3 linked regions of the Alligator mississippiensis genome follow. The protein of the gene in region 3 interacts with the protein of the main gene of each other region in a pairwise test. Links are inferred from orthologs where the notes say so. Each region holds a gene or a part of one and is shown on either strand. Other genes may lie near its edges.

Region 1 (7,804 bases), on a different chromosome or scaffold from region 3:
CGGAGCTACCACGTCCATGCCAATAGGCAAAGGGTGGGCATTAACTGGGTTCTGTCGTGCCTCAGTTTCCCCTCCCAGCTAGAGGGAAACAAATTTGCCCTCTTATCCCTCCCTTCTAGTGGAGCCTGGTAGGGGGATTGCTGGGGGGGAGGCAAGCTTGGGGAGGGAGGGGCTAGCTCTAGGCTCCACCCCTTCCCTGGGTATAAAAGCGGAGGGGCCAGGCGACGAGGAGCCCGTGTCCCGCATGCCCACCTGCAGCAGGGTGGCCTTGGGCACCACCAGCAGCATGTCCATGTTGCCGTCCTCATCCCCCTCCAGCGTCACCAGCTCATCCATGGGCCGGGGCTCGCTGAACTGGAAGGGGCTGCTGCGTCCCCGCTCCTCCCCACGCCGGTCCACATAGCGGTACTGGTACTGCTGGGCCCCTGGTGGGGGCAGGTAGTTGGCTGCGGGGGGGGGACAGGGTCAGTTAGTGGGGGTACCCTGAGCCCTGACTGCGGCTGCGTGGGTACCCGGGGTGTCAGGGGGTGACGATGCCCCCTCCTTCCCTTCTGCTCATCTCACACCCCGATTCTGGGGTCTTACAGGACCCTGTCTGGGAGCTTCCCCTCAACCAGGAAGCACCAAGCTGAAACACCCACCCCAAATCCCCCCCCTCCAGGGGATGCAGATGACCCCCCCCCCCCCACAGCATCCCCTGTAGGGTGGTCCTGGGAGTGCTGCCACGCAAGAAGGCCTAGATCTGGGGAGGGGGAGAGGAAGACCCCCGCTTGGGGGGGGGGGTGTTGATGAGATCAGAGAGCACCAGGCCCCACTTTGGTCTCCCTACCAGGCACCACGTACCTTGGAACTGGACGCTGGAGTGCAGGGGCACCCCCGTGGGTCCCCCCTCAGGCACCGGGCACCACACGAAGGTGTAGTAATCTTTCACGGACGCCGCTTCCACCTGCATGGACAGACACACAGACCAGGGCAGGGCTGTGGCTCAGCCGCCCACTTCGGCCAGGGTGGGGAAACCGAGGCACAAAGCAGCCAAGGGGCAGAGCTGGTGAAAGAACCCAGGAGTCCTGCTTTCCCCCCCCACTCCAACAGCTGGATCCCAATCCCCTCCTGGAGGACACTGCAGGACCCAGGCTTCTTGCTGGCTAGCCCCCACCCAATTTTCAAAGCTGGCAAAAAACCCAGCTGTCCAGCTACCAAGTGCCCCCCCATGTCCCCAGCCTTGCAGCTTCCTGAAATATTGTCCCCAGGGTCCTTGGAAGTGGGGTGGGGAACAGGAAACCTGCGTTCTTTTCCTGGAGCTGTAGCCCCCATTAGAAAGCCCCAGGTCTGTGCCCCAGTTTCCGAGGCTGGGGGGTGGTTTGGAGACTTTGGGGAGAGGTGATAGTGCTCGACACATGGGGAAACTAAGGCATGGAGGTCACCCACTCCTCCTGCCCCCCATACCTTGAAGATGCCGATCCAGTCCCTGGCGGAGGGCTTGGTGCCGGGCGGCAGGGTGTAGTGGCACTCCACCTTGGTGCCGGGCACGTAGGAGTGTGCCACGTTGAGGAAGGCTACAGGGACGGGGCTGGGGCCGCGGGGTAGGGCCCCCGGCTTGCTGGGCGATGCCTCTGCCATCCTTGACCTGCTAGACAGGTGGTGGGAGGGGGTGAGCAGGGTCCTGATAGCCCCTTGCTGAACCCAGGTGTCCTGGCAGGGCAGGTCCCCCTTCCCCAGAGCCCGGCTCCTCCCCTGTGGGCACCGGGGCGGGGGGTGTCTTTCTCCAGCAGTTGAGCTCTGGGCCGGGGAGGCCACATGGCTAAGCTGGGACACCTAGGTTCTGCATGCCTCCCAGCTAGAGGAAATCAAATCAGCGAGGCACAGGGTACTCAGATGCCTGCCCCTTGCCAGGGGTCACCTCCTAGGAAGGGCAAGGAGGCTGGTCCCGGGGGGTCTGGGCAGCTTGGAGGAGACCCCAGGTGCTACAGCAGTGATTCTCAACTGAGGGGATAGCACCCTAGTGGCCTTTCTGGCACCTGCTGCTGCCCCCACCCATGCCATCTGCCCCCAATGCTCCTCCAGGGAGTGCTGCCAGGTTTGTCCCCCCTGCTCCCAGGGCTGAGGCACATGAAATCGTGCAAGATCAGTCACACACACTATGGACCAGGGGTGGGGAAGCAGACAGTAGAAAGAGCAGGGCATGGTAGGCTGAGGCCTGCCCTCTTCCCTGGCACTTGGCTCCCCTCAGGTGGGCACAGTCTCCCATTCAGGCACAGACCAGGGCAGATGCTGCTTAGCTTCCAAGCCATGTCAGGCCAGCTGGGTGGCATGCCACAGAGACACAGGGCCTACCCCCACTGCAGCTGACATTGTGGGGTGGACAGGCCCCACCAGCCAGCTCCGTGCCTCAGTTTTCCCTTCTGTGAAATGGGTGTGAGTTGCAAACAGCAGACAGATGGGGGCGGGATGGCCCTGTGCCTGAGCAGTGCCTAGTGCTCAGAGGCCGGGGAAGGAACTGTGGTGGCTTGTGGGCGTGGGGTGCGGCCACCCGACACCCGCTGGCAGTGACAGGCCGACCACCTGGCCGCGTCCCGGAGCCGCCCCTTTTTTCTGGGGTTGCACAAGGCAGGCTGATGCAAGGCCCGATCCCGACAGGGCAGGAAGCAGCTGCCTACTCCCTTGCCCAGAAACGCCCCCACCTCCACCAGCACCTGGGTTGGGGGCGGGGGGAGGAGCAAAACCCAGGGTGGGGGGGCAGGAGCACGTGCTGTGCTTACAGGGGCTGCCCCTGCCCTCCCTGGGAGTCAGGCCAGGGGGGTGAGGCTGCCTTGCGGGGGTATTAAGAGGGTGGGGGGGGGCACGTACCCCCCTGGGATGCCCCCCCTCCCCAGCTGGCAGGCCTTGCAGGAGGGATCCAGGGCACATCCCCCTCCCTCCTCCAGGGTGCACCCCGCGGGGCAGCTGAGCCCAGATCTGCCCCCCCGGTGCCCCCCGCCCCGGGCAGGGGCGAGCAAGGCTCTTACCGCGGAGCAATCAGCTGGGCTCCAACAACAACAGCAGGCTGGGGCCGGCAGGGGGCGGGGCGGCGCGGGGCATGCTGGGACTTGTAGTCCGGTCCAGCCTGGCTGCTGGGCCAGCGGCGGCGCCAGGGACTGCAAATCCCAGCGAGACCCAGGAGGGGGAGGGGGGGAGGAATGCAAATCCCAGCATGCACCGCGGGGGAGGAGCAAGGGGGGTTGCAAATGCCCCCATGGCCGGGGCTGGGGGTGGGGAATAGAGGGCTGGAGTGCCCTGCCGAGGTTTTTGTCTCCATTTGCAGGCTTGCTTGTGCTCCCCTCCTCCAGGTCCTGGGCTCTCAGTCCCATGACTCCTGGTGCTGGGGCTTGAGGCCGATGCAGGGCACCAGGCTGCAGCCTTGCCTTGCTAGGCAAATGCCAGGGGTTGGAGCTCCCCCTGCTAGCCCACCCACCTCCGACTACTCTTATCCCGGCTCCCGCTGGTGACCCGTCCATGGGATTGCGGGATGGATCTTGCTCCTTAAGACGCCCCTGGCTCTGCAAAGGTGCCTGGTGCTTGAAATGCCAATAGCGGACAAGGCAGAGCGGGGCTCATTGGCCGTGCTTATCCCAGGGCAGCCCCCAGTATGGATGCACTTACCCCAGGGTAAAGGCACTGTGCCCGGGCACCGTTGGCAGAGGCATCAGGTCCTGCCTATTTGCTCAGCGAGCTCCCAGCCCTGCCAGTGTGTCCCTGGGCTGGGGGACCTGACCTGGAGGGGGGGCTGTGCTCTTGCAAGGGGCCTGAGAAGCCTCAGTGGGGAGGGAGCCGGAGCCGGGATCCAGGCCTGAGTGGTGATGTGTTAGTGGATGTTGTGGATGTTAGTGTCCATCTGCCCACCCATGTGCCCACCTGTCCATCTATCCGTCCGTCCGCCCGCCCATCCTCCTGTTTGTTAGTCCGTCAGTCCATCCATCCATTGGTTCATCTATCCCCTTAGACCCCCATGTTGATCTATTGATTGATCTCTCTATCCACACACAACTCCCCATCCATTCATCTCCCTCCTTCCTTCCTCTCTTTCCTACCAGGGCTCTCATTTCTGGATGGCTCTTGCTCCCAGCGTCTTTGGTGCCCCCACCTACCCCGGTCCAGGCTGGCTATGGGTGGAGGGAAGATACCCTGCCAAGAGCTCAGTATATCCAGGAAGCAGGGACCCTGAGCCTGCTGCGAGGGCAGAGCCAGCCGGACATGGGGCTGGGGGGCAGGGATGTGGGCACAGTGGCTGGGCTGTTCTCTGGCTGCTTTAGGGAGATCCCTGGGCCCCTGTGTCTGTCCCTGGCTCCATCCATCCATCCTGTCTCATCTCCCTGCAGGGTCTCAGCCCCTGACCCAGCTTCTTAGGCCGTAACCTGCTTCCACCCTGGCCTGGAGCCCCTCATGCCATCTCCAGCCCCCCGTCGCCCTCCCTGCCTTGCTTGCCCACATGCCAGCAGCTACCCCCTCCTGCCTAGGCAGCAAGAGACAGGGATGGAGACAAATGGGCTGGCATGGTGCCCTGCCTCCTGCTGGGACCCCGGGAAGCGCTTGGCAAAGAGGGTTAATGGCTGCTCTGTCTGTTCTCATCCCCGGCGAGGGGAGCCGACTAAGCAGCTATGATGGGCTGGGGGGGGGAGGGGGCTGCTCTGGCGAACTGTAATTAACAGCCAATCGTTCATTAGAGAGAGAGAGAGATGAAATATGGCCCTGGCTGGGCCCAGCAGCAATGCAAGGGAGGGAGGGAGGGAGGGAGGGAGAAAAAGAGAGATACAAGGGTACAAAGGGAAAGGAGGATGGAGGGATGGAGTCTGGGGCTAGAATGAAAGAGGGGATTGATGGATGGATGGATGCATGTAGAGTTGGAGAGAAAGGGGGCATGGGGATGGATGGATGCATGGACAGATGGATGGATGGACGGATGGATGTGTGTAGGGTTGGAGAGAAAGGGGGCATGGGGATGAATGGACAGGTGGATCCATCTGTCCATCCAGTCATCGATGGATGTGTGTGGGGCTGGAGAGAAAGGGGGTCTGGGGATGGACGGATGGATGTGTGGGGCTGGAGAGAAAGAGATGGAATGGCAGAGGGGGAGAAAGGAGTGGACAGACAGATGGAAACAGCGCTGTGGGGCTGAATGGGTGGCATTTGGGGGCATTTTCACTGGAAACAGCCATGCTCCATGGCAGTTGCCTGCACGATTTTGAGGTGATGACTTTTATCTTCAGACAAACCAGATCCTTTCAGCCTCACTCTGCCAGCCCCCTCCAAAGGCCCCTGCACCAGCACCCCCTGCCATGACCCCATCCCCTGCTCTGAGATCAGCTCCCTTCTTTGAGAGCCACATCTTGCTTCCAAGAATGGCTTAAATACTAGGGAAAATAATGAGGAGACGGGGTTCAAGGCCGCATGGGATAAGGACCAGGACTGTTCCAAGCAGAGCTTATGTCCTTGTGTTGTTATTTGGGGTTCAGATATTGGGGGGGGCAGACTTAAAATGAGTCAGGAAATGTGGGGGTGTCTTTTAGTCAAGGTAATACGGCAAATACAAGCTGCTCCCTGGTCTTCTCACTGCTGGTTTTGATCTTCCTCCGGGCTCTTCTCTGGACCCTCCAATCTCCTCCCACCCTGAGTTGCCAACACCGTGTCCCAGCGCTGTCAACTCCTGAGATCAGCTCTCCCCTGCTTGCTGTTTCCCTGTATCTCCCCCCATGGCTCATGCAACCCAGTCTGGGGTGAAAAGGGGGCAGGCAGTGGAGTGATCAATAAGTCCTGGTCCCCCACACACACTAGACAGGGCTAGGAGGCTGTAGCAGGGGGACAGCTAGCTTACAACCCATGCTGCATGGTGCAGCAGTGGGATCTGAACCCCTATCACCATACAGACACCAGACACCCTGAGAAAGGCCAGATCCTTGCCCAGAGCCTGATTCACCATCACTCACTCAGCCCTAGGGGTATTATTAGGACTCCCCTGCAATGCATCTCCTAGGGTCAGGGGCTCTCAGAGACCCTCAGTCTCACCTACGGGGAAGTTTCCTCGAAGGCTTGCCTGGGGTTTTCCACCCTAAAAAAGACATGAGGCTTGTTTGGCTAGAAAGTACCTGCAGAAAGTCCTTTTTAAGACCTGGCACAGTCTGGAGTCAGCAAGATTCTTACTAGCCTGGAGGGGGGTGTGTGAATGTGTGTGTACGTGCGTGTGTACGCGTGTGTGGGCTCAGAGCACCATTAGATCCACATAAAACGCTCCCTGCCCACCCCCCACCCCCAGTGCTGCATTTCACAGGGAGATCTGGGCTCCTTAAGCCCCCGCCTGGCTCTTGTTAGCAATGCCTGGCTCTGGCATTTCAGGTGTTGTATCAAGATCTACCCCCTGCCCTGCACCAGCTTGCCTTGCCCCTTCTCCCCCCACCCACACAGACCCAAGCCAGCACCTTTGCCCACCCAAGGCTGAGGCTGGAGCCCAGGGTGCAAATTGGCTCCTTCAAGCCTGTTGGCTGAAGCTTTAAGGGGAGTTTTCCCCTTTGAACCTTCTTTATTTAATGTTATTTATTAGCAACTTCTAGGCTGGGTGTGGGGCCAGGCTGGCCTAGCAGCGCCTGCCTGCTCGTGGAAGCTAAGCAGGGCTTGGCCTGGCTTGGGCTTGGATGGGAGACCCCATAGTGCAGATGGGGCATTACTGGCTGGGACTGGTTGTGGGCTTATACTGGCACCTGGGGGTGGGGGACAGGGCCACACATGTGCAGAGCTCTGGCAGGTCTCAGCCTTCCCCCTCCCTGAGTGCTGGCTGTGCCTCAGTTTCCCCACGGCCCCTCCCTTGGCCGGGGCACAAAGAGGCGGGATTTACGAGCATCTCTCAGACACTCATAACGAAGCAAATTCAATTTGACGCTGCCCCGGCCGGTCAATACAGGAGATAAACGAGCCGGCGGGCCCCGGCGGCTCAATGGCAAAATCGATGGCACTCTATTGTGCGCCTCAGCTGCGTGGGCTCGATCCTGCCCCCTGCCCTGGAGCTGGGGTAGGAGCAGGGGACCTGCCAGGACCAGGGGTTCCCCACCCCACAGGGCCTGCTGGGGTTCATGTCCTAGGAAACTGGGAGGCACTGGGGGCTGTGGCAGTTTCAGCACCCCACAAACTCCACTCAACCCAGTGCCATAGACTCCCTACCCCAGTCCCTGGGAGAGTCTCTGCCAGTTCTGGGTGGTGGGGAGGAGAGGACTTTTGGGGATGTCTAATGACCATGGTAACCTTAACAGTGGCGTGTCTCCAGGAGCCCCCAAGCCCATGGCAACACCCCACAAGTGGACCCATCCCTGCAGACCCCAGTGCCAGCTCTGTGAGCCCCCCGCTCGCTTCTGGGAGTGTCCGTCTGTCCGTCCGTCTGCAGCGCACCAGGCAGGGCTGTTCGCTGGCTCTGGTGCGGGTCTGGTCCTGGCAGCTGGGCCGAGCAGACGGTGTCGAGCTGGCCCGGCGTGGCCAGCCCTGGGCCATGCCAGCCGGGGATGGTGCCACCGGCCTGGCCTGGCAGCGGTGCCTCGCGCCTGGCCTTGCCAGGGCCCCAGAGCTGGCAGGTGCTGGGTCCCAGCTCTCCGATGAGGTGGGCAGCCCTGAGCCCCAGCTCCATCTGGCCTGCAGTGGCTGCCAGCGCTGCTGTTTCTGTCCTCCCCACCCTACCCAGCTAGAGGCCCTGGGGAAATGCGGTCCATTGAGCCCACAGCACAGAGCCACGAGCTGCAGTGAGGGGCGCCGGTGTCTCTGCAGGGTCCTGTGGTGCTCAGCCTGCTCC
Region 2 (7,031 bases), on a different chromosome or scaffold from region 3:
CTTCTGCTCATTTTAATAAAGCTTCTATTTGCCTACAGGCCCATGTAATTTCTGCACTGTTCCAGAAAGACAAGTGGGATATAACCGCAATACTGCAGCTTCTTTATATTATTATATAAAGGTATAAACACTACACAGGTTGAAAAACTTTTACTCTTGGTTGTATCAATGATTTTCTATTCTAGTCAGGTTTCTCTGCTCTCCTTGTATTTTGCAGTGAAGATTAAATTGCTTCTGACACTGGGATGAATGATAAAAGTGAATGACGATGGGCAACAACTGTGGCTGAACTGGTGCTAAATATGATTTAACTGCAAGTGTAGTTAAAGATAAACCATCTTCAAGACCATTTCAGAAACAGGCTAAAGCGTTAGTCTGTCCTTGCAGCTAAACTATGTTTAGCACCTTTTGCTGAAATCCATTGTCGGCAAGGGATAAGTTTGCTGCCGTAGATGAGGCTTGGGAAAACACAGAACCCAAAGACCTGAGGCTTAGTAACGGGTAATTTCTGAGCATGCAAGAAATATTGATGTTGCATATGTGATGTATAAATCTTGCTAAATTCTATAGTATAAAAAAAAGTCCCCAAATCCTTGCCTTTGAGGAAGATTCCCTTTCTAGCCTCAAATGTTACGAGCAACTTGGTCTAATACATTCAGACAAGAAGAGCTGAATCTTATGAGTGCTTGTGGTACTGTCAGCCTATGTTCTTTTCTCCACTTTGCTTGATTCTAGGAACAGGTTCAGCAAACAGTTTTTGTGGAGACAACTCTCTAATTATTTTCAGAGTGGGGAAAAAAATCTTATGTTTTAAATTATACTTTGTGGGTTTTTTTTGCTGGAGCACTCTGGTATTACTCTAGAGCTGCTATTTCAATAACTTAACAACCTAGGTTTGCTCACTCTGCTGGGATGAGGGGCAAGTAGTTATTAGGTAAGGGTACTGGTTTGTTTTCCCTCTGGGAAATGGGAAAGGTATGGGCCTGCTTTACACCTGCAGAACAGCAACTTATCAAAGGCCTTGCCAATGTAGCTTTTGCCAGTTTCCCAAACTAAGTTGTCTAAGCAAAGGAACTGTAGTTGTCTCCATTATGATGGCTTCTTAATATAACTACACTGGCAAACACTGTGTAGATGCAGCCTTCTATGGGTTTCTCTTCTGAGTTATGACCTTCTTGGTTCCCCCCACAGATGTTCACACTACTAACTGCCAATTATCTAGAAAGTCTTTTAAAGTATATGCTATGCACCCCTTCTGTAGTGATTTTAGAAATAGGTTGGCCTCTATCCATATACCTCAAGTAGCTGAATCCAGCAAAATGGCCTAGAGAAGGTCTAGAAGTGGAAGTAAAACTTAAACCTTCGAGTTAGGGGAGAAAAAAGAAATATAGAGGTGCATGTGGCTTCTGTAACAGCTGCAGGAAACTGCCTTTAAACTGCTTTAGGTGTTAGCGATGTCATCAACTGTAGCATGAGCAGCAGAGAATCCCGAGTTGCCATCTCTCTGGCAGGTAGGTGGAGGGAAGTGCTTTTCAAATGTGTGCCATAAATTTTAGTATTACCAACCCCAGGCATTAACCATGTGAGGACTCCCAAGAACAGAGAGATCACTTTAATAAGACAATTCAAATCATGCTATTTTTAACCTTGTATGGTTTAGGATAGTGGTATCTGGCTGGTGGGCTGGATCTGGCCATGTAGCTAGAACAGGAGCAGACAAAATATATGGCCCACGGGCACTTACCAATGCATTGTACCCCACCCAGCCTGCAAGCTTTGCTCCCACCCTCATGTGCAGGACAGCCCCAGCCAGCAAGCCCACTTCTGGGTGGGACCACTGCTGCAGCTGCCCCAGGACCTGCTCGGCTTCCCTGGCCTCAGTGGGCTCCTCCTCGTCTCCCTACTGCAGTGCTTGCTCCGGGCAGCAGGTAGGGAAGCTGCAGCTGGGTGGAGCATGGGGCTGGTGGGAGCAGAGAGCCCAGGGCTTGTGCTCAGTGGGATGCTGGAAGCGCAGAGCTTGGGTGGGCAGTATGTGGGGTGTGATGGGGTGGTGTGGGGACCCTCCCATGTCCTCCCCCATGGCGCACAGCCCCTGCCAGCAGTGCCTGGCTCCCACCAGTTCCAGGAGTTGCATGTGGCAGCAAGGAGGAGAGCCAGGCTGGCCCACCTCTATCACATGCAGCTCCCAGGACTTGTGTCACTGTGGGGGGAAACTGCTACAGTTTGGGCCAGGCCCAACCCGCATTGCCCGTGCAACAGTAGCCTGCCCTGGCTCCACTGTGCCTGAAAATCTAGCAGTGGTGGAGGGGTATTAGGGTTAATTTCCACCACTCCCCCTTCCAGATTTCTAGACCTGTGCAGAGCCCAATGGGCTAGATCCCTTGACTCCATGAGCTGGATTTGGCCCACAGGTCAGAAGCTAAACACGCCTTTTGCAGAAGCTTTTTCTGTAACCTTGAGAGCTAGATGATTGCCCTTTCAAATTTGAATGCAATCTGATGTCCTCAGCTACTATCCTGGCTCTATAACTCAAAGGTTTTAGTTAAAACACCTAGGCCCCTGGTATACCATTAACTGGCTAATCATAGGATTAAATTTATCCTGTGATTAGCCAATTAATCTGGCCACCCCTGCAAAGTAATTATCACATGATAAAAGTGACTCTCCAGCTACAAAAAAAGCCAACCAGCTGTAACATCAGTGCTTGAAAAATATGCAACAACTTTAGAGATGACTTCTAGCCAGCTTTCATTTGAATGTGTAGCAGGGCCCTTAAGTCCCTACTATACTTGCATACTTTACACAATTAACTGATTATTCCCCAGATAAATGTAGATGCCACAGGTGCAATGTAATTATCACAATTAATGGGCTAATTGAGTAATAAATGTAGACCAGCCACCCTTGCAAAGTAATTGTCACAGGGTAAAAATGACTCTCTAGCTACAAAAAGAGCCAACCAGCTTTACAGTCAGTGCTTGAAAAAACATGGTTGCAGACAGAAGTACAGGTCCCTGCTGTAACTAAAAACGCTTTGCAGGAAGGGTTGGGGTTTGCAATCATCCCTGGAAACACAGATGTTCACAGCTGGTTCCAGCAGGGAGGGGAATCCAGCTGTTAGCTGCCCCTTGCAGTCAGCTTTCCCCAGCAATGGCCCCTCTCTCAGCCTGTCCCTGCTCTCAGGGCAGGAAGGAAGGAGGGAGACGGAGCTCCTTCTAGTGCAGCGTTTCTCAACCTGAGGGTCGCAACCCAAAAGCTGGTCACAAGAAAGTATGAAAGGGTCACGAAAAAACTTTAGAAATGGCTCATTGAGCTTTTAAAGCAGAAAAACATGGGGAAACCGTGGCTTTTCCCTTGCAGCCTGGCAGTCCCCTGCCCCACACACCTCACCATGCCCCACGTACCCACCGCTGCCCCACACGCATGGGCCAGCTGGTGGGGAGCGAGGGGTGCTGGCCGTGGATGTTTATAAATGGGTCCCGATACAAAAAAAGGTGGAGACCCGCGGGTCTAGGGGTTCCTCAAGTGGCTCTAGTGGGGAATTGGAGCAGGGCTGAAACCCCTCCCTTCCCCCTTCTGCAACCAGAGGCGGGCAGGCGGCGCAGACAGAAGTGACAGTAGACCCATCAACCTTTTGCAAGGTCACGTTGTCACCCCATGGGCCAGTTTTGAAGCTGGCTGCAGCCCTTCACTTCTCGGAGGAGGGTGGGAAGGGACCTCAGGGGATCACATCCGGTCCAGCCCCCTGCTCCAACTGCATCATCCCACCCAAGCCTTTTTTATGTCTTCAACACCTCCAAGGACGGGCACGTCTCTGGGCAGCCCTGCTGCGGCTCTCCACCACCCTCCTCGCCAGCAACGTCCCCCAACACGCAGCCTTGCTGCAGCTTGTGAATCCCCCTCCCCTTCCCCTGCAGACAGCAGCCAGGGTGGGAACCTCCCGTAGCGCATGCGCGTGGCGAGGGGGCGGGAAGCTTGAGACGGGACGCATGCGCGTTGCGAGGGGGCGGGAGGACTGGGGCGGGGCGCGCGGACATGGCCGGGCCGTGGAGGAAGCCGGGCCGTTGAGCAGCAACGCCTGCCCTCACCTCACCTCATCTCACCCTCCTTCCCTCTCTCTCCCTCTCCCCGCAGGGCCGCCGTCATGGACGAGCAGAGCGTGGAGGTGAGCGCGGGGCCCGGGGCGCTCCCTCAGGGAGCCGGCGGCCGCCATGTTGGGGGTCCTGTCAGAAACACCCGTGGGGGAGGGGCGGGGCCAGGCACCTGCAGGTGCCCCGGGGGCAAGGGGCGCTGAGAGGCCCCCGGGCCAGCGCGGGCGTTTGTGCAGCGCAGGCCTGGAAACGGCGTTTCGTTTCACGCGGGCGCTTACACACGTGCCTTTCGTCCCGAGCCGCGCTGGGGGTCCGGGCGGGTGGGAGCAAAGGGGCGCGAGCGGTGAGGCGCGCGCAGGAAACGGCAGCGGGGCGCTTTCGAACCGAAACGTCTGCGCTGCGGCTTAGTTCGGGAGCACACCGCCGCTTTCTGGGCGCCGAGCGGGGCGGCCGTCGGAGAGGACAGTCCAGTTGCCCTCCGCCCGTCGTCGGCGCTAAACCGGACACCTTGACGTCCGCCGCTTTTCTCTTTGAAGACAAAAATGCGTCCGGTTTCTTACGGACGGAGGAGCAGAAAACTGGACTGTCGTCTGCGACGGCGCCCGCAGGGTCCCCAGCTCCATTTGAATCGCTCCCAGGAGGTTTCGTCCCACGACGTAACAACACGAATTACGGCGCGTCGGGAAGGCAAATGCACATTTTAAACCCTCCCTGGTAGGTGGCCACCGTAGAGGACGGTCCGGGCGTCCTGTGGTGATACGAAACCGGACGCCTTTATGCCCTCTGTTTTTCTCTCGAAGACGAAAATACGTTCTCTGTCTTGAAGAGAGAGCTAGAGGACACAAAGGTGTCAGGTTTTGTATCGACAGAGGAGCAGGAAACGGGGATGTCCTCTGCGATGGCCACCCTAGCGCTGACGCACGTCACCGCTTGTACGACCGTGTGCGTCGCAGCGCCGGGCGCTGTCGGAAGCACCTGGCGCTGCAGCACAGCCACGTGTACAAATGCCCATAGGCTCGGCTCTATTTAGGAAAAAGAAACGCCCGCTCTTGCGTTTAATCAGGGTTGGAGTTACACTTTGACTCTTGGGGATGGGGTCTGCAAAAAAAATAAAAATTAAACCAGCTCATTGATTAAGAAGGTCACGTAAGTGAAGGAGCAAGCTGATCAGAGGACCCCCCCTTCCAGGTTATGATTTTCAAATCTTGGGGGCTCTGGTCTCTCATGGGGGGCTGGCTTAGCCCCCTCCCAACTCCCCCTTAATTCACACCCTGCTTTTAATGCTCGTTGGTTGGAAAAGCCAGCGTTGTTCAGAGCAGGGAGGCCCAAATGGTTTGAACTATGGAAGAATAGACGTAAAGAGAGAATGAAAAGGCTAGGACATTCTGCTGTAGACAGGAGGTGAGTAAATAAGGGCTTGTCTACATGGGGAACTTGAGCGGCATAACTAAGGAAATGACGCTGGGATAGGTGTTGCAGAACAGCGATTCTCATGCACTCAGGCTGGGCAGTTTACCTCCCCAGTAGACGGGCCTAAGACAGGACACGATGAAAGTAATTCAGGAAAATAAGGTAATGTGTAAGTGTACACGTCTCATATTACATGGTAGGTAGTTATCCCCTAGTGTTTATTGTCACAAGATTTCTTAGAGCACCAGTACTTAGGTTTAAAAAAAATCAGATGTTTATGGAACAAGAGTTTTATATTCATTTTTAGAAGGGATATATAAGCCCTCGTGCTTTAGAGCAGAGGCTGGTTGCTGACCTATGGTGTTTAGCCTTTACTTTTTTGCTGTCTTGCATTTTCATCTGATACTGGCCGCTTTTAAAAGAGAGGATATGGAGCTAGATGGATCACTGGTTTGATTAGGTTTGGCAAATGCCATTGTTCCTCTCCCTTCAAAAAGTCCTAAACGTTTTATGAAATAAAAGGACTGTAGAATGGGGTAAATTGGAAATATTTTTGTGCCCCTCCTCATGTGCCTTTATATAAATAACTTTATATCTACCAACCTCTTTTTTTTTTTCATGAATATGCATTGTAGATCAGGTATCTCTTTTTCCAGAGGTGGCTAGTGATTGACATGGGAAACAAAAGATTTCCTTTGCAAGAATAGCATTCTGCAGCATTTGCAGTCTTCAAAAGTAGGGCAAATCTGCAACCTGCCGTAGGTCTAGTGATTTATTTAGCTTAGTGTTAATTGTAGTGGTTGAGACAAGGATTTTCTTTGATTGTTTTATGTCATGTTGCTGTAGCTGAAGTTTTGTCATTCAAGCTAAGCTGGAGCAAACAATAAACTAGTCTTTTACAGTCAGGTTCTCACACTTTGGCAGAGTGTTGTAAAGCTTGGATCTCAAACCATGGAGGAGCATTGTAAAGGACATTTGTTGTCAGTAGATGTGTATATATACTAAAAACCTTCATGATATTTCTGTTGGCCTGAGGTTTCACAAATATCAGTTTGGGATCCTAGCAGTGTTATTGTTCCTTCAGAAACAGAGACCAAGATTTCAGCCTGTACAAAATATTTCTGTTTCTTTACTTATTTTCACAAAATCTTGACTTGCTCTAGATCCAGCTTATTAGCAGATCATGACTTTATTCTCCAAGCTGAGCAAGGTGGAAGAAGTAAAGAAATTGCTGGGAGAGTAGGTGGTAAATGTGGACTTCAGACTTGAAAGAATAATGTAAGAAAGGGAGCATACAGTCTGTAAATTATTTTTAGTTCGGTACCTTCCCATTAACATGCTATAAAGTTATAAATATATTTACATACATATTTTCTTAAACAAGGCTTACTGCCAGTGAGGTAAAATTTGTAGGTGTGGAAATCTCTGTGAATAGTACCTCTTCACTTGGCAACTGCTTGATATCGTATAGATACAAGTGCAGCTATATGATAGCTCACTTGTACAATGTCTCATCCTTGCTAAAGCAGA
Region 3 (7,846 bases):
TGCCCATGGCAGGAGACTGAACTTGATGATATTATAGGTCACTTCCGGCTCTCTGTTTCTATAAAAGGGTCTGATGCAGCTTGTTTTTCTGCAAGAGTCTGCTGATAAAAGTTTTTGTGATGGATAAAAGGGTTTGTTATGGCACACTCCAGCTACATCTGAAGGAAATGGCTCCTGGTACCAGGAAGAAGGGGAAAAACAATGATAAAGTGAAGACAAACCCCAAGTTGTTGAAGAAAAACAGGAAACTGGCCTAACTGGTAGCTATGAGACCAAAGGACTATAAATATTACCCCCCTTTCCCTTCCCCTCTCTCTCCTCCCCTTTTTCCTTCTCCTCCTCTCCTACCCTTTCCCTTCACCTCACCCTAACAATGCCTAAAAACTGAAGACATCTGATCTCCCTTCAAGGAACCAGAGCCCACTTTGAGACACCTGGCCAGCACTGGATGTGTGTATTAGGACTAGTAATATATAATTACTTGCTTGCTAAGATTGTATCTTGTTAATATTACTGAAACTGCTAAGATTATATCTATATGCATGCTTGTAGTTAATAACTTGTAAGGCTCAATAAAACGAATTTATTAAGAAAATAAATGGGTTCTAATTTGGAGAAAAATAAATAGATAACTGGGTCCTTGGTTGGAGGGAACATATAGGTTTTCATTTGGAGAAAACTGAAGCACACTTTAAGGCAATATCTATCCTACTGTTTGCTCTCTCTCCATTTGAGAGAAGAACCAGATGCCCCCTGGTTCTTAGGGCAATAGTGCCACGAGACCCTTTCAAGGATGCTGTGGTGCAAGTGTTCCCACAATGGCCAGACAGAACTGCCCCACAAACCTTGTGCACAGCCAAATCAGGAAGGGCTTCAAAACAAGCTGCACTCCTGCCTACATCAACGTTATCTGATTAGCCTCAAGGAGACAGATGAGCCTGCTCCTGTCACAGCTCTTTCCAGTCCAACCCCAGACTGTATCTCCTGGAAACAGAGGCACAGTGGACAGATGGAACTGTCCTGTGTACCTCTGTTTCCAAAAGAGATCAAGGGGGGCAGGTGGAGAATAGGGAGGGCTGTGGCAAGAGCATTTCTATCTGTTTTAGGCTCATAAGATAATTGAAATGCATCCAGGAGTGCATGCTTTTGCCACATCCCTGCCTGGTCTGGGTCTACACGAGGTACATAGGATAACTGCACTTGGCTGTGGTGGTAGTAGCTCTCTGGTTGAGAACCACCAAAGTAAACAGAATGGCACAAACCCCCACGGTGGTCTGGGGAGTTTGTAAGGAGTTGTGAATGTTTTCTTATATTTATTTCACTGATACAGAATGTGAGGTTTCACTGGGAAGGCCATGTTATGCTATATCTACTTATGTCACTTTTCTTACTGTATAGATGGTGTTATGATGTCTGTATACATCTTTGTGTTTCTGGACATCTCAAAGAACGGAGGGGTGCATACTTAAGGAATCCCAGACAGGCTGGAGACATCATTGGGTTGGGAACTCAAGGAACTGCCTGCCTGTAATGGGGAAATCTTCTCCTCTCTAGCAAAGGCATCTGTGAGAAAACACCCATCACCCAGAGGAAAGTCAGATGTCCCTGAAAGAGAAGTTTCTGGAGGATTCTGGAGACCCAAGAAAAACTGAGACCATGCTGATGGGAACAGGAGGGCAGTGGGCAAGGGTGTTTATAAGGTAGCCAAGGTCTTTGGATTTTTTCCAGGCTGGAGAGGAGTCCAGGACCCCAGCAGTCACGGCTGGTAGTATCAGCAGGGAGGCTGATCCCTAAAAACACTAGCAGTAGTCTCAGGAAGACTAGCATATAACCAGATAACACAGCAAGAATCTCTTTACTGGTCTTTTTGTTCCATCTCCAGGCCTATAGTCAGTTTTTCTTGTACAATTCTATCTTACTATAATAAAGCCTTTTGCTGTTTTGCACACCTTACTCTCTGCCTGTGGAAGAGAGCAGTCTCTGGGCAAGAGATATTTTAGGCTCGCTCATTCTATGGAAAGGGGCGGCCTAAAAGTTGTTACACAAAGCACAGGGGAGGCCACGTGGGGCTGCCCAAGATTCCGCTGCTGCAGGTGTGAGGTCCAGGCTGGGGCAGTGGAGCTGAGGTTTGCTGGAACAAGGAGTTATCCCAGAGCAAGCTTTGTTTGGTTCCTCAGGACAAGCAGCAAGATGGAAGGGAGAACCTTGGAGCTCTGGGGTACACCGTGAATGGTGTAACGGGCAAACCAGAGAGCAGCTGGGAGCCCTGCATACTCCTTGCGACCGTTCCCTGCACAGAACATGCAGCCTTACTTTCTCCCCATTCCCCTCTCCCTACAAGGGGTCAAGCAGTAGAAACTACTGCTACTGTATTTCCTGACATATCATGCACACCCTGATTTCCAGGACCGGTTTTTATTTTGTTTGTTTTTAAAGGAAAGGTGTTTGCACACATGAGCAAAATACAGCATTATCTAAGACTTGCAGGTTATGCACAACAAAAAAAGCACTTTGAAAAATTTGTATACACAACCTATAAGAAGGATCACACCAGAAAGCCGTGGGAAGGAGGGCCCTGCCGGCAGCACCACTTGTTAAACCGTCTCCCCAAGACGAAGACTTATCACACACTCCTCCCGGCTCAGCTGTCATTCATAAAGCACATTTTTCATGTCCCCAGTGCGGGTGAAACAAGGAATTGAAGTCTGTCCAGCGTGAACACTGTGCCATCGCAGAGGCTGGGGCAGGGAGGGCCGTGCCCTTCACATGGCGCCGCCCGCAGCTAGGAGGTCTCAGCCCACAAAAATAAACCCCCCTTCCACGGGTCCGCCCCTCGCAGGCCAGCGGACGAGGGGACAGCAGCCAGGGCCCAGCGCCCCGCTTTGGACAGGCAGGGCAGGGCCCTCCACGTCCGGCCGCCGGCCCCAGGCCCCGTGCCGGGGGACCCGCGTGCATCACCTGCAGCAGCAGCGACTCGCGATCCCACCGCCGCTGCTCCCTCCGCGCCGCCAGGCTCCGCTCGCTTTCAAACCCGGACGCCATCCCCGGGGCTGCCGGAAAGCACCGCCAGGCCGGGCTGTAATACGGCACTGCTGGGAAAGTGTCGCAACAGGCGCCGCTCGGGCGGGGAGGGGGGGGGTCAAGGTCCTCCAGCAGCCGGGCGGAAGTGACACCCAGGTCCCGCACCACGCCGGAGCGAGTTCTACTGGGACTCGAGAGCCTCGTAAGGCTGCAGTCAGAATCGCGGGTTCGAGTCCCTGCTGTGGATATTGAAATTTTCCCCCAGCACGTTAGACAGAGAGCGCTGAGCGCTGGCTGTGGGTTGGGTGCTTTGGTCAGCGATGATCCTGCCTCGACCCCGGGAGGTCCCTCCCAGTGCTATTTGTGTAGGGTCCTGTAAAGGTCTTAAAATGTAGGTTTGCCAGGTGCCAGAAGGGAAGAGGTAATCAGGGCTCGTGGGCAGAGGTGATCTCTTTTATTAGAGCAACAAGATTTTTGCAAAAAAAACCAAACAAAACCTTTATTTGCAAGCTTTGGGGCACAAACACCCTTCATCGGCTTTGGAGAAAAGATGGTAAAAGTTCTGCTGGGTGGAAACGAAAGCTTGTATTTCGTAGGATTTCTCAGAGGGGTCCGTAGATGCAATCAGCATTCTGAAGGCGGGTCAAGTCGCGTGGGACAGATGAATTGGAGATCAATAAACTTTCATAAGCAACAGCTCCAGGGCTGTCCAGCAGTCACCCTGTCAGCCGTGTGTGTCGTTGTCGTTCCCCACCCCCTGCCAGCCATGGTTCCCCTTATCGCTCTAGCTCTGGGGCAGGGTGCCAGGGCACGGCACAGGAAGGCATGCCCGCCTCAGGGTGGGCAGTGGGGAAAAGGCCAGGGCTGCACTGCCACAGCAAGGATTGGGCCCCTTGTGGCTCTCCTGCCATACTCCCCTGGCACACCGGCATTGTACAAGTTGAGCTTCTGGGCGTTTTTTGGTGTTCTGCCTAAAAATATTACTGACTCCTGCTCTAGCAGTCCGCAGCATGTGGCCTTGGTTTACAGGCAGCAGGCAGTGTTCAGCAGCAACAACCCCGCTGCATGGGCTCCCTCACCTTATTTGCTTCTACTCCCCATACACAACTGGGCCCTGCACTTCCCATGGCAAAAATCCTGGCAGGGTGAGGCGTTGGGAGAGCACCATTCCACTCAACCCCTGCCCCTGTATACTACTGAGCTCAGGGCTGCCTGACTTCTATGGGCATTTATACACATACTTTTTTGTCCCACAATACGCTGGACATTCACCGCTTTGGAGCAGACTCAATTAATTGAGTCTGCTCCGCACGCGAGCTGAGGCACGCTGCGCCACACTGTGTGCGGTTGTGTAAGTTGCAAAATGTACATCAGCGTGTAGAAAATGGTGGCAGTGGGCTTATGAACTAAAGCATCTCCAATGTGTTTTAGTTCAAAAGCACGTCACCATCATTTTCTCGGCACTGATGCACGTTTCACTGCTAATACAACTACATGTGTCACAACTGCAGCACTTACATGTGTAAAAATGCCCTGGGACTGGGCCAGGCTGCTGTAACAAAGACTCTCAAAAGGGGTATTCTGGTGTCCTCTGTAAGTGAGCACCTGAGGCAGGTGTTCCACTCCCTAGTTATACTACTGGTCTGTAAGGCCACAGACCTGCAACAACTTTCTTCCTGACTTCAGACTGACATCGTGAACTCTCTCTCAGATTATTCTGAAAGAAGGGAAGGAAATGAGAAAGGAATTTTCTCAAGGGAGACGGATAGAAAATTAAACCTGTCAACTGTATTTTGGCTTGTCAGCATTCTTGAGACATGTTCAGTAAAACCAGAGAAAGGTCAAAAATAAAAAAGCTTCCAACCTTTCCTACTTTTATACATTAAAAAGAAAACAAGAAGAGCGTAGTATTTTTAAGATCTGCTGCAAGTTACCTTGATGACCAGCAAACCACCCTAGCTCTGTAAACTCCTTGCAGAAAACAACAAGTTAATAAATGAAAACCTATATGCATCCATACCTTGTCTCCACCAGGGAGATACCTTTGTGCACCATATCTCAGTTTGAAGAGTATCTCTCTGTTCTCTTAAAACGAGCTGCATAGTCAAGTGGTGATTCCCATGGTAAGTTATCTTATAACCTTCACTGCTACCACTTTCTTTTAGTGCATTTTGTGATTTTTTTTGTTCCATAGAATTGTGAAAAAAAGAAAAAAAATATATGTTTCCAGGAAGTTTGATTCTGTACCATTTACTTCAAGTAGAGAATAAAGTTTCACCAGAAAAAGAAAATGCTCTCCCTTTGAAAAAACAAAATTTGTTTGCCACAGATGATAGCTGATAGTCCATTTGGGTAAATCCTGCATGTTGCTGTGGGAGTTTTTTATCTGAATCAGCAACCTATTCTGAAACAATAACATAAAAGAAACATCAAAGGCAACAAGGTGGCTAGAGAGTTAGGTGCATGGAGGCTAAAATGGACTGAATCTAATTCAGTTCTTAATTTGTTTATTTTTAATACACTCCCTTTGTCAGTGTGTTACTTGTGTGTCTGAGAGAAAATGATAGCTCAGCTTCGGACAGGAATTTTCTGTGGCTGGTGAAAGTAAAAAAGTCAATCTCATGAGAAATTATAGAAAAAAGCAGATGATATAATCACAGAGAAGGGCATTTTTCTTCAATAAAAGTTTTACTAAGTTTCCTTCAAAGAAAGAAAAGGTGGGTGTATATAAAATTAAGTGCCACAAAAATGATAATATACCATCTGACAATGGAGCGGTCAGCTCCACTGAGCTGGGTGAAGGTCTGAGTTGTTCAATAGCATATTTTACTTTTTTTTAGTCAAAAAGAGTCCTTGGCACCAAACTTCAGCAACCAAACAGACTGTTTAACACTGATGACATAGAAAGCCTCTTGCAAATAAGAGTTTAGTTTTCAATAAAAATGAAAAAGCAGACTGCTGTAAATCTAATGAAGATCCATCTATTGTTCCATATTTAATATCAAACCATGTGTTGTCTAACACTAGGCAATAAGTATTTTGTTAATTTGCTTAGCTACTGAGAACTCAAATGGTATTGTTAGCTATAGTTAAGACACCTAAGAGACAAAGTTTGGAACTAAATCCATTTTCCTCAAACTTCAGGATTGTTTGTACCCAGAGTTTTCATTTCATGTCATTCTCTAGTGACATTTACTAATGTTTGTCATAAATGTTTTGTGACAAATCTCTTTGAAACACATACATATATATTGCATATAAAGTGACAATTTTTCAGTATTTTGTTTTTTGAACAGGTTGTTCCTTTTTATGAGCAGGAAAAAAAACCTGAATCAAGTGGGTACAATAACAGCAATTTCTGTTTTTACTGCTACCTCAGAAAAGGCTTGTGGTTTCTAATGTCCATTCATGGTCAGCTCTTTTTCTCTTATATTTACTAGCCTAGTTCCCATCATCTTCCCCAACAAAACTTTCCTCTCCTCTCCTCTCCTTCCCTTGCCTTTGCCTTTCCTTTTCCCTTCCTTCCCCTTCCTTTCTGCTGTACTCCACTGGACCTGAAAGATCTGCAGGTTCCTGTAACACTTAGTAGCTGCCAATACCACGATGAGATATAAGCAATAATCTTGGCCATTTGGGACTAAGGCAGACATTTCTGTAGTGTTACAAAGCTGGTAGCACTACAAAGAATACAGTGCCGTGGGCAGGCACACATGCACAGTCCCTTTGCTGGAACAAGAAAAAATTGTCGCAAAGGCACATTCTTCAGCCAGAGGACAATATGGCATAGCTCCATAGCTCCCTCTGTCCCCAGGGCAGCCTCCATTGCAACAGCTGACTGGGACCAGGGACCCTTGGTAGCCTTTGGTTTCCAGCGGCCTAAAAGCTCCAGCTGCCTGCAGCATTTTTGGGGTACATCTATCAGTTTTTTTATGGAACAAAAAGCCTGAATGTGGCCACAAGCTTTTTGTTGTGCTAAAACAGTAGATAAATGGGACAAAATTAACACTGATCTAAACTCTAACTCAGATAAACTGACTGGAGCCAGGAGCCTTAACTAGCCCTGTTGGGGCCTTATTACACGGTAAATTTGGGTGGCTCCTGGATCTCCTAGCCCCTTTGATGGTCCACACATTAACACCTTCAGTGGTTTAAACCTTAAAGCCCTTGTTATGCGACTACTGCAGGGCAGGGTTATCTCTTGAGCCACACCACCCAGCTCCTGTTCCATTAAGTCATGTCTATTCCCCACTGATCTTCCCCAAAGGTGTGACTGCTCCAAAGCTCTAAACCAATCAACATTTGGGTGGCTCACAGCATAATGTGTAACCAGGCCTTTATCTGGAAGGTTTTATAGAGCTTCATTAAAATACAGAAAGTTTTAGAAGGCTGCCTCCATTAGTGACACTTCGGATCCTGAGTCTCCTACCTACCAGCCTCTTTGGCCATGGTACTCAGGAACTACCTTCATGCTTTTTCCATGCTGTTGTGTCTACTTGTGGAACCTGCAGTAGTTCCAGTCAGTGCTGTACTCCCTTCAGACATTTTGAGCCAAATAGAAGATAACTTCCAACTGGAGGTATTGCAGGACTCATATCAATTCGTTGTATAGAAGCATCTCCCAACAAAGTGGAGAGAACAAATAAGAAAATGATATGGCGATGTGACCATTCTAGATTACTTGGGGCACAAACTTCCTCTCACTGATTATTGAAGAAATTGTTAAAAACAATGAGAACCTGGCCCATGACAGGTCTTTGGGGTACCATGGCAATACCAGTAATCAAAATTCAACCTCTATGTGTAAGTCTCTCTCTCTCTCTGATAT

Evidence for each region.
Region 1: the proteins of CWF19L2 (region 3) and CALCOCO1 interact in binary tests that used the Homo sapiens proteins (3 or more experiments, as listed by UniProt). The two-hybrid records come from large-scale screens. The link is inferred for Alligator mississippiensis from reciprocal best matches to the Homo sapiens genes CWF19L2 and CALCOCO1.
Region 2: the proteins of CWF19L2 (region 3) and TRIM37 interact in binary tests that used the Homo sapiens proteins (3 or more experiments, as listed by UniProt). The two-hybrid records come from large-scale screens. The link is inferred for Alligator mississippiensis from reciprocal best matches to the Homo sapiens genes CWF19L2 and TRIM37.

The regions. Positions count from the first base shown.
Region 1 is NC_081838.1:8,533,544-8,541,347, reverse strand, and holds the start of CALCOCO1 (calcium-binding and coiled-coil domain-containing protein 1), read right to left. Parts: upstream 3,066-7,804; 5' UTR 3,006-3,065; intron 1,631-3,005; 5' UTR 1,621-1,630; coding exon 1,447-1,620; intron 947-1,446; coding exon 844-946; intron 447-843; coding exon 253-446; intron 1-252. UniProt on the Homo sapiens protein: Functions as a coactivator for aryl hydrocarbon and nuclear receptors (NR). Recruited to promoters through its contact with the N-terminal basic helix-loop-helix-Per-Arnt-Sim (PAS) domain of transcription factors or coactivators, such as NCOA2.
Region 2 is NC_081837.1:3,318,901-3,325,931, reverse strand, and holds the start of TRIM37 (E3 ubiquitin-protein ligase TRIM37), read left to right. Parts: upstream 1-4,010; 5' UTR 4,011-4,144; coding exon 4,145-4,165; intron 4,166-7,031. UniProt on the Homo sapiens protein: E3 ubiquitin-protein ligase required to prevent centriole reduplication. Probably acts by ubiquitinating positive regulators of centriole reduplication.
Region 3 is NC_081824.1:437,555,888-437,563,733, reverse strand, and holds the start of CWF19L2 (CWF19-like protein 2), read right to left. Parts: upstream 3,092-7,846; 5' UTR 3,043-3,091; coding exon 2,959-3,042; intron 1-2,958.